Linked DNA regions of Drosophila melanogaster. The protein of the gene in region 1 interacts with the protein of each later gene in a pairwise test. Each region holds a gene or a part of one and is shown on either strand. Other genes may lie near its edges.

Evidence for each region.
Region 2: the proteins of EndoA (region 1) and Manf interact in a two-hybrid assay, tested with the Drosophila melanogaster proteins (one large-scale study listed by BioGRID).

The regions. Positions count from the first base shown.
Region 1 is NT_033777.3:18,905,074-18,911,538, forward strand, and holds EndoA (endophilin A), read left to right. Parts: upstream 1-1,535; 5' UTR 1,536-1,947; exon of another isoform or gene 1,948-2,126; 5' UTR 2,127-2,193; coding exon 2,194-3,303; 3' UTR 3,304-3,377; exon of another isoform or gene 3,378-3,432; 3' UTR 3,433-5,682; downstream 5,683-6,465. Other genes in the region: CG14292 (uncharacterized protein), read right to left, coding at 1-404, 480-533; Sgsh (N-sulfoglucosamine sulfohydrolase), read right to left, coding at 6,187-6,465. UniProt on the Drosophila melanogaster protein: Required presynaptically at the neuromuscular junction. Implicated in synaptic vesicle endocytosis.
Region 2 is NT_033777.3:16,347,508-16,351,301, forward strand, and holds Manf (mesencephalic astrocyte-derived neurotrophic factor), read left to right. Parts: upstream 1-1,896; 5' UTR 1,897-2,003; coding exon 2,004-2,091; intron 2,092-2,167; coding exon 2,168-2,292; intron 2,293-2,378; coding exon 2,379-2,520; intron 2,521-2,909; coding exon 2,910-3,076; 3' UTR 3,077-3,294; downstream 3,295-3,794. Other genes in the region: CG14879 (uncharacterized protein), read right to left, coding at 1-21, 1,274-1,377; CG10311 (uncharacterized protein), read right to left, coding at 3,623-3,723. UniProt on the Drosophila melanogaster protein: Required during the maturation of the embryonic nervous system for maintenance of neuronal and cuticular connectivity. Essential for maintenance of dopaminergic neurons and dopamine levels.

The DNA.
Region 1 (6,465 bases):
TGCCACTCGTCATCGATGGCCTTCAGCTGGTTCTTGGCCGTGGTCAGCAGAGGCTTGACACAGCGTATCTGCAGCCAGGGCAAAGTGGCGTTGTTGCAGCCACTGATCGACTCCTCCGAGGTGGCCACCACATCCAGGACGCGCTCCGCCAGGTCGGCGGGAAAGTCAGGCTGGGAGAGCAGACGCTCGGCTTCGCGTTGCAGGACTATCGACTGGAAGAATGAGGAAATCGAGGCGCCTCCAAAGGGAGCAGACGGTGCCACGGGAGCGGCTACACCGGCGGCAGCTCCTGTGCCAGCACCTCCGAAAATTCCATTTAGGAAGGGATTAAAGGCAGCCGCATACGGATTGGCGGCGGCAAAGGGATTTCCGGCAAGGGGATTTCCAACAGTAGCTCCAGGGCCCTTACGAGTAAATTATGATAATTCGGTTACATAATAATCCACTTAATGGGGGGGCCCATATCCACAACTCCTCACCTGTGCACTGATGCAGGCAATGCTGGCCGCCAGTAGAACAATTGCGAATTTCATTTCTTTTAATTTATCTGAGTTCACTTGGTTCTCAGTCGTTGGGTTTCGTCTAGACTAATTGCCAAAAGCACAACGGCTTGCGGCTTTTATACGCCATTAAAAACACGGCAGGGAGATCTTATCTCTGATATCTCAACTATTACTACTGCGATTGAACTGATTTACATGTTCATTGTTTGTTCGGTGGTGCTAAGTACCTCTCGGGGGTTATCTGTTCAGATAGAGCCAGAATATATAAAAAAAAAAAAGGTGGTAAAATTGCTACTTCATGCTGTGAACGTCACTGGTTTTTACGATGCAAATGGGGTTTAATTTTTGCCTGGGATATATTTGCCACCTTCTAGAAAGATAAAATTGACTGCTGTGCTACTGGTTATTTTGCGCACAGTTATTTTGGTAAACAGGATAAACATGATATTTTCTTATCCATTCTGAGTCATTCCATTTTTATCTTAGCGTAACATTCATCAGCAGTTATACAGCTTTATTTTTGCTGAGTACGTTTTCTATCAATATAATATATTTATGTATTGTAATGTTAGAATTTTACGCGCCAAACTGTTATTCTAATCTAACAGCTATTCGATTAACAGCATGTACAAGGACAGAGCAAATACAGAGACCGACAGTGGGACCGACCATATTTATTCTAGTCTAATAATTCTGCCAATCAACATAGATTTCAAATTCAAATTTATAATGCATTAACATTATAAGTATTAGATATTAAATGTAAGATATTATGTTAACTGTTTATGTGCTTCTGGCTTCTTAATATAAAATATATATATTACTTTAATTTTTAATATTGTTTTGATATATATATATAACTATCTAATACCCCCCTGCAAAGAAATTAAATGAAAATGTTAAGTTGTACCTCACATCTTTAACATATGCCTAGAGATGAGCGTATCCCGTGTATGTCCGTTGTTGTATGCGAATGATTTTGGTATTTTACGAACCACCGGTCACACTGAATGTTTTTTAACAGAATTATCGATAGTCCCGCAGCTCCAGTGGCTTAGTGCCGTTGAAAATTGTTGTACACAGTCAAGATATTGATTTTTGCGAGCCGAGAGGAAAACGCGACCCCACAGCCCCCGCCCCCTGTGCGCGACCAGTAGTAGTAGTAACGACTCACGGTCCTTCAAACATTACGCAGCCCAAGGTTCTGGAAAAAATCGAAGATTACGAGCAGAGCAACAAAAAAAAAAACGGGGCAGAACGTGCAGAGCAAGCGAAGCGAGTGAAAGTGCCCGCAGTAGTGGTCAGCAAAAGTAGAACTCGAACTCGGGCTACAGTTCACCAAGCCAATTCGAGTTTCCCGACTCGCAGCCTCCACTGAGCGAGCAGAAGAGCCCCGGAAAGTAGCACCCCCAGCGGAGAAGGAACGGAGAAAAGTGCAGTACGCGTAAGTCTTCCAAACGTAAACGTTTTAAAAATAGACACACTCAGCCAGCCAGCCAGCCAGCCAGGCAGTCGGGCAGTCAGTGAGGCAGCCATCCAGTCCATTGATGAAATTGTTGACTTGATGATATTGACATTGAATTTGAAATCGAGTCTCGACTAACCCAACCAACCCGTTCACAGCAACTGCGTCGAGCGCCCCAAGACCAATTTAATCAGAGGAAGAAAACCAGAAGAGACAGCAGCAGCCATGGCTTTCGCCGGACTCAAAAAGCAGATCAACAAGGCCAACCAGTATATGACGGAGAAGATGGGCGGTGCCGAGGGCACCAAACTGGACATGGACTTCATGGAGATGGAACGCAAGACGGACGTCACCGTGGAGCTAGTGGAGGAGCTGCAGCTAAAGACGAAGGAGTTCCTGCAGCCGAATCCAACGGCACGGGCCAAAATGGCAGCGGTCAAGGGCATCTCGAAGCTGTCCGGACAGGCCAAGTCCAATACGTATCCGCAACCGGAGGGCCTGCTCGCGGAATGCATGCTGACTTATGGGAAGAAGCTCGGCGAGGACAACAGCGTGTTCGCGCAGGCGCTCGTCGAATTCGGCGAAGCGCTGAAACAGATGGCCGACGTCAAGTATTCGCTGGACGACAACATCAAGCAGAACTTTTTGGAGCCACTGCATCATATGCAGACCAAAGACCTCAAGGAGGTAATGCATCATCGCAAGAAGCTGCAGGGCCGGCGGCTAGACTTTGACTGCAAGCGTCGCCGACAGGCCAAGGACGATGAGATTCGTGGTGCCGAGGACAAGTTCGGTGAATCGCTCCAGCTGGCCCAGGTGGGCATGTTCAATTTGCTCGAGAACGATACGGAGCATGTCTCCCAGCTGGTCACCTTTGCCGAGGCACTATACGATTTTCATTCGCAATGCGCGGATGTCCTTCGAGGCCTGCAGGAGACACTGCAGGAGAAGCGCTCCGAGGCGGAGAGCCGGCCACGCAACGAGTTCGTGCCCAAGACGCTGCTCGATCTGAACTTGGACGGCGGTGGCGGCGGCCTCAACGAAGATGGCACGCCGTCTCACATTAGTTCGAGCGCCTCGCCGTTGCCCTCGCCGATGCGTTCGCCCGCCAAGTCGATGGCCGTAACGCCGCAGCGCCAGCAGCAGCCCTGCTGCCAGGCCCTCTACGACTTCGAGCCGGAGAATCCCGGCGAACTGGCCTTCAAGGAGAACGACATTATCACCCTGTTGAATCGCGTCGACGACAATTGGTTCGAGGGCGCGGTGAATGGCCGCACCGGTTACTTCCCGCAGTCGTATGTTCAGGTGCAGGTGCCCCTGCCCAATGGCAACTAGGCTATTCCTCATCCTGTTCCTCGTATTAATCCCGATCCCTAAACCAATCCCATCCTATCAAACTGGCTGAAGACGTACGTAGATCGCTGATTGGAGAACAATAACCTTAATTGTTGGTTTCGCCACCAGAGGCGCGAAATTGGGCAGCCCAAGCCGATGCAGAAGCAGGAGCAGCAGAAGCAGCAGCAGCAGCACATAAATGCAAATATATATATATAGTTGAATTAGATGAGCGGGTTACTACGATTACGGATATTACGATACGGCTTAGCTAGCAGCACACAGCAGGCTAAATTCATGGTGGCCATAGAGCAAGCTAACTAAATTTTATGTGCAAAATTATACCAGTTGGCAACACAATAATTAACAAATTAACTACGAGTTAAATTAATGTACGTATTAACTAACTAAATTTACAAGACGTTACGCGCGCAATGCCACTTCCTTGCGTTTTTACCTTTGATTCTCAAACGTCAGCTTTGTTGTTCGTTGCAAGTTGCGAACATTTAGTACTACTTCACACAATAGATCGATCACGTATTAGAACAGTTGGTCCGGCGGCAGAAGCAAACAGAAAAACACTCTAGCTAATTAACTAAATTACCCGTGTAATCTTAATCACGCCCATGGAGGCGCGTCTCTTTTGTCTTTCCACCTGAGTTCTTCTAGCCTCCAGTTTTCGGAGGTCTTTTTATCCGGTCTCATCGTTGTAATTTAAACCAACCTACGCCAATGCGCTCTCTATGCAAATGTCCCTTTATAGGCTAAAGCTACGTATCCACACCATACGCCCGCCCACATGCATATACATATTTATTATATACCCGAAAATACCTACATATACCTACTCTACCTACGTATATTTGTGCAAAAACAATACTCCCCACACTCTATTCTAAAAGGCATACGGAATACCGTTCTTGATGTTCGTTGTTCAATGTAAAGAATAATTCAATTCAATTTTTCGAGGATGAAACAAGCGAAATTTGTATCCTACTTTTTGCTCCTTTTTATGTGTGTTGTTTTTTTTGTTTGTTAATTATATACATAACAACTATATATATATATATTAAATGAAATCAAATATATGTATAAATATATTTATTAAGCGTATTATCTACATGTATATTTATTATTATGTATTTATTATAAATTATACTGAGCAGCAACGTAAACAATATAATGAATATTTAAACGATGATAACAGATAAAAAGTACTAGCGGCAAGTAAATGTAACAGAATCCTCCTAAACAATACCAACCAACAAGCATAATACTAGTTAAACGATTTCCACAAAAATGTTGATAATAATAACTTTAAACGTAAGCAAAATCCAGTCAAGTCAATCGAAGCATAGCAACACTTACGAACCTACTAACGCGTTTACCAACCGCAACTCTAGATCAAATATTTATATATTTAACGAGATAATAATAAACATTCGACGGCAAACCGATAAAATGATTCAAAATAGTCTCATGTTGGCATACAGCTATGCACGATATACATACGAATGTATATACATATATATACTCGTACGTTTAGGAATGATATACACAAGATACATATATATTTACGTATGAAGAAAACCATTGAATTGAAAGCCATGCAACTTGTGTTGATAATAAATTTGTTAAATGCCAAGAAAACATTTAACAGAATTATATATTCGAGTGCGAAGATGAAACATTTGCCTCGTGGACGGACAGACTGCCAGTGCGAACATTTCCAGAGGATACCCCATCTGGGGAGGATCCACCCATCGCCTGGAGACTATCTTTCCACGCGATACACACTTGCCCCACGTGCAGCGGGGCCCGAACTTCAAACAATAATTATTGTAATTTTGCATTTTTGTGTGGGCGGTAACTTGAATAATATATATTACAAGGCATATACATAATAATAATAACTATGCTAAAACTGAAGACCCTAATTTATGCAAACCAAAATTAATAAAATTTAATTTTTAATGTGTCTTTCGTTCAAAGTCATAACTGAGAAACAACAAAAAAAAAAACAAGCAAACGTCGTTTACTCTTTGATATTTCCCATCTGACCTTAAAACCATAAAACGTGCTGCCTGTTGTGTAACACAGAGACTCGAATGCTGCTGGGAATGGGTGGTGGTGGGCGATGTGGGAATCCGGAGGCGCCACCAATAAACTACAACAGAAGCATTGAAATTTTCGATTTTCCACACACAGACACAGGCAGCCGCCAGCACACCCTCCCCTCCCCTATCCCACTGACCCAGTGGGCATGACATTGAAACGTGACGCAGCATCCAACCCCTGATGCCCACGCCTCCAGTCCAAAAAGTGGGTGAGGTCATGCTGCCAGGACACGAGTGTTTGCCAGTCTGGGCTGATGCAACCAATTCAGTCAGTGGGGGAATCTTCAGTCTTCTTTCTTTGCCAATTCTGTTGGCTATTTTTTTGGCATTGCGCAGGTGAAAATCAAGGCAATATATTTTTATCTGTTTGTTTGTAAAAAGCAATTAAAGTTTTCCCTTAATGTAAACTTGGAAATTTGTTCAAAGAACATACATATGTACATACTCTAAACAAATGCTTAATTCTTATGATTACCATTGCTTTTGAAAACATTGATCTTTTTATTAGCCATGCTTAAAGATTAGCAGCTCGCTTCAAAGTTAAACAAAGTTTATTATTGAAAGTATTGTATGTTACTTTTTTTTTATTATTTTAATAAGAATATACATTAATATAATATTATCATTTCTACCTTTTGCAATTCCTATTTGTATGACCGCAACTGTAACGGCATGTGAAGTGAAAAACATTGGCATGGTTGAGTTATCAACCATTGGACATGCGATAAGACAACACACCCAATCTATTGAATACTCTTAGTCAGACCTACGAGAAGACCACATACTCCTCATACTGACCGAGAATCCTGCGCTTGGGCCGCTGCAACGCCTCGTGGCCCAAGGTCAGACAGACGGGCTGATCCTTGTAGACGCCCTGCTCCTGGAGCACAGCGTGCGGAGCACATCGCCAGGGATCCTTGGTGGCTACCTGCCAGTCGAACAGTTGCTCGCGTAACTGCTTCAGGGTGCCATTGTACTTGGCCTTATCGGCCAGATTGAAACGCTCCAAGGGATCCGTCTTAATGTCGTACAGCTCCCATTCGGG
Region 2 (3,794 bases), 2.6 Mb from region 1:
TTGACAAAGTTCACCGAGAATCTGTAGCGGAGGTAAACATACAAATGCTTGTTAAAAAAATCAGATGTATATGTCTCACTTAGGTGCTAATGAACTAGCTACTAGCTAAAAATTAACTTAATACGTGCCTAGCGACATAGTCTTCACTATGCATTTGATCAAAGGCGGTAAATAGCAAAGTGTGAATGAAGTAAATATGATATGCATATTTTATATTCAATAAAATCACAAGCACTAGTAGTACCCTCGCTTAAAGCGATATAACTTATCACATATCAGTGCTAATGACGTCGTTATTTGATTGTTTGACCCCCTCAAGCGCTTAGTCATCAGAATTGTTTAAATGGCACATGCTGGTTCGGTGAGTTTTTTTCTTTCGTTTTTGGGGACCGGAGCTCCCAGACATTAATAGTGAGTGTGAGTAGGCGCGAAAACGTGCAGCGCATTCAAGGAACGGAATTGGAATTTTCAGCGATTTATTGTTAAAAATCCGTTAGTCAAGCTATGGAATTTCCAGTAAGTTATGCCCCTTATCGAAATACAAGAGCTACTAGTGTCACGGAATATTATCATGACACATTTAGGTAGCTATCACTAGAACCTTATCGATCTAAAGAACAGATAAGAAATGTATTGTCTTGATTTATCAATTGCGTTGAAATTGTTCAATTAGAAACCCGGATTCTTGAGTGATGTAACTGATGGTTCTGATTAATGGACATCATTTGACCATTCATTCATAAGCTGATTAACAACTTCCCACCCTCAAGCATACATAATTCATGGTATTATTCTTTGCCATCCAACTGGCTTGTTGTTTTCTTCATAGCCGGCATCTTCAGCGCGTGTCTGATTCAATTTTAGTCTGGTGATGTCATATACGATGGACTTGATACAGTAAAACCAGACGACTACGTATACATCTGGCAGAGATTTCTTTATGGTCCCATCACCACCGCCTTATCGCCCTAATAGATCATAAACTCATAAGAGGTCTTTGGAATTTATAAAAAACAAACATCATCTGGCAGAAGAAGTATAAATTATTTAAATTCATGAGCCCATTTGCATGTTTTTTGTGTGCGCCATAAATTGTTCGCGAGTTTGGTGAGTATTTCGTCTAATCGGGTCACATACGTAAACGATTTTAAGAACACTATATTTATATTTTCAGCACGCAAAGAGGCAATTTCTCCACCTCAGTTCGCGGGAAGTGGCTAATCGATTTTCTTAAAGTTCGCGGAATTTAAACGCGAAATATCAAAGGACTCACTGCTGGGGATCCTGGAGCAGGTTGCCGCTGATGGACAGCCGGGTTACTCGATCCGAGGTACTGGCATTGGTGGGCAGCACGGCAAAGAACTTCACATCAGGCATTTTAAACGATTTATTATAATGGGCTGCTTCTTTTCCGTTTTATTTTTAGCAAGGTGTGTAATTGCAAATTTTATCCGGATAATTGTAAATACGTTTGCTGTGGCAGTTGCCAACGGTTACAATAACTCCAAATAGCCGAGGGAGTAGTGAGCACTTGGACGACTTGGTCAATACTGTTGGCGATTACACAGATACGGTGCTATATTAAGGGACTGGAAGAGGATTAAGTCCAAGACTACGTCACGGGCAACGTGCAGTCGAGCATATTTGCTTAGCTTTAACTAATTTAAATAATTCCACGACGCGCAGTTCCGTTCGCATTCGCGCGTGATTGAAAACTGAGCAGGAGTGCCTCTGCGTAAAACGGAGCAGCTGAGCGATCCCCACACCTGTTAGCCAGTAAATTCCGGACCCCGATAGTATGACCATATCGGTTGTTTTCCAATTTGAAAACGTGGCGCTGCCCCGCCGATAAATGAGTACTTTTATCGATGCCTGACCTATCGGTGAACACCCATATCTACGGCCACCTAACGCTAACAATTCGGGGACAAAATCAAATCGCATGCAAAGAATTCAGTACAGTTAATTAAAGTACGCTCAAGCACAGTCGAAGTAATAACAAAATGAAGACGTGGTACATGGTGGTAGTGATCGGCTTCCTGGCGACGTTGGCCCAAACGTCGCTGGCCCTGAAAGAGGAGGACTGCGAAGGTATGTGATTGGCCACGTAAGTGGTTGAGATGTTCTGGAACAGATTTTCACCGGGCTCCATTCTTTCGTTCCGCAGTTTGCGTCAAGACGGTTAGGCGGTTCGCAGATTCGCTGGACGACTCCACCAAGAAGGACTACAAACAGATCGAAACGGCCTTCAAAAAGTTCTGCAAAGCGCAGAAAAACAAGGAACACAGATTCGTGAGTAGCCGGCAAACAAGTGCCGCCCCCTCTCCCTCACTTCCTATTCTCTGGGAAAAATGATACACGTATGCGTTTCTTCGTAGTGTTACTACCTCGGCGGTCTGGAAGAATCCGCCACGGGCATCCTCAACGAGCTGAGCAAACCCCTCAGTTGGTCCATGCCAGCTGAGAAGATCTGCGAGAAGCTGAAGAAGAAGGACGCACAAATCTGCGACCTTCGCTATGGTAAATATTTTAGTTAGGAACTATACATATATAGGAAGTGTGGGTATACAGAATTCAATATGAAGCACCTAGCATTTCTTGGCAAAAGGAAAGAATTCAGGAATACAATTTCGCATGTATGCTTTACTATTATATCATAGCTTGTTAAATTATTTTGTGGTAACTCGCATAAAATTCTACATTTTATGAGATAGGTCTGTTTGTAAAATGAATGTTAATGGTTTAGATTATTAGAAAACGTTAATCGTCATTTACTAAGAGTCAATTAATCTAGGGTGTCTATTAGAAACAAAAACTCTTAACTTGGCTTAACATTTAGCTTTTCTGTCGCTGCTCTTCGCCTTAATATACTTCTATAAACATTTATTTATGTGGATTGTTCATTGCAGAGAAACAAATCGATCTGAACAGCGTGGACCTGAAGAAGCTGAAGGTACGCGACCTGAAGAAAATCCTCAACGACTGGGACGAGAGCTGTGACGGTTGCCTGGAGAAGGGCGACTTCATCAAGCGTATCGAGGAGCTGAAGCCCAAGTACTCGCGCAGCGAGCTGTAGAGCGCAGTCAGTTACTTGTGTAGTTACATGGAACACGCCCACTTAGCTAAAACAACAACCACATGAAACGCCCCCTACACATCCATATTTTTAGTTAATTTACAATTTTGATAGACTTTGAGAGAATTGAATATAACTATATATGCCTAAAGATAAAACCTATATTTTGAAATAAAAAACAACAAACACACAAGACCTCGTCCTCTCAAACGGTTGATAAATAGTTTGTTTTTATTTTTGTTATTAGTTTTCGGTTTTTGAACTCCTCTTTCACAATTACAAGTATTACGTACAAATTACAACAGAAATTCACATAATATCTGGATTAAAGTTTTATTTAAATGTTAAATACATAATTCCATTGCACTTAATGCCACGGGCCGCGTAAATTCGATGTGAGCGAAGGGCTGGCTCGCCTCAACTAAATTATAATTATTAGTTAGACATAATCACTAAAAACGAACATAGGAAGCTAGGATGAAGATGTGTGGGTGGTGGATTCAGCTTCTTGAATGCAATTTCTGATGAATAGTGCTCCTGGAGATTCTAGCGACGGTACGGCTGCTTGTTGTAACGACCGCGCTCGTTCTCCTCGGACAGGTTGGCGTATTCACTATAGACCACGCACCAGCAATAGGTCATAATCGCTGAAAGATGGAGGAGGAACATTGGGTTAGGGCATGTGCGCGCAAAAGAGTGCTGTCATTTTATATTCTAC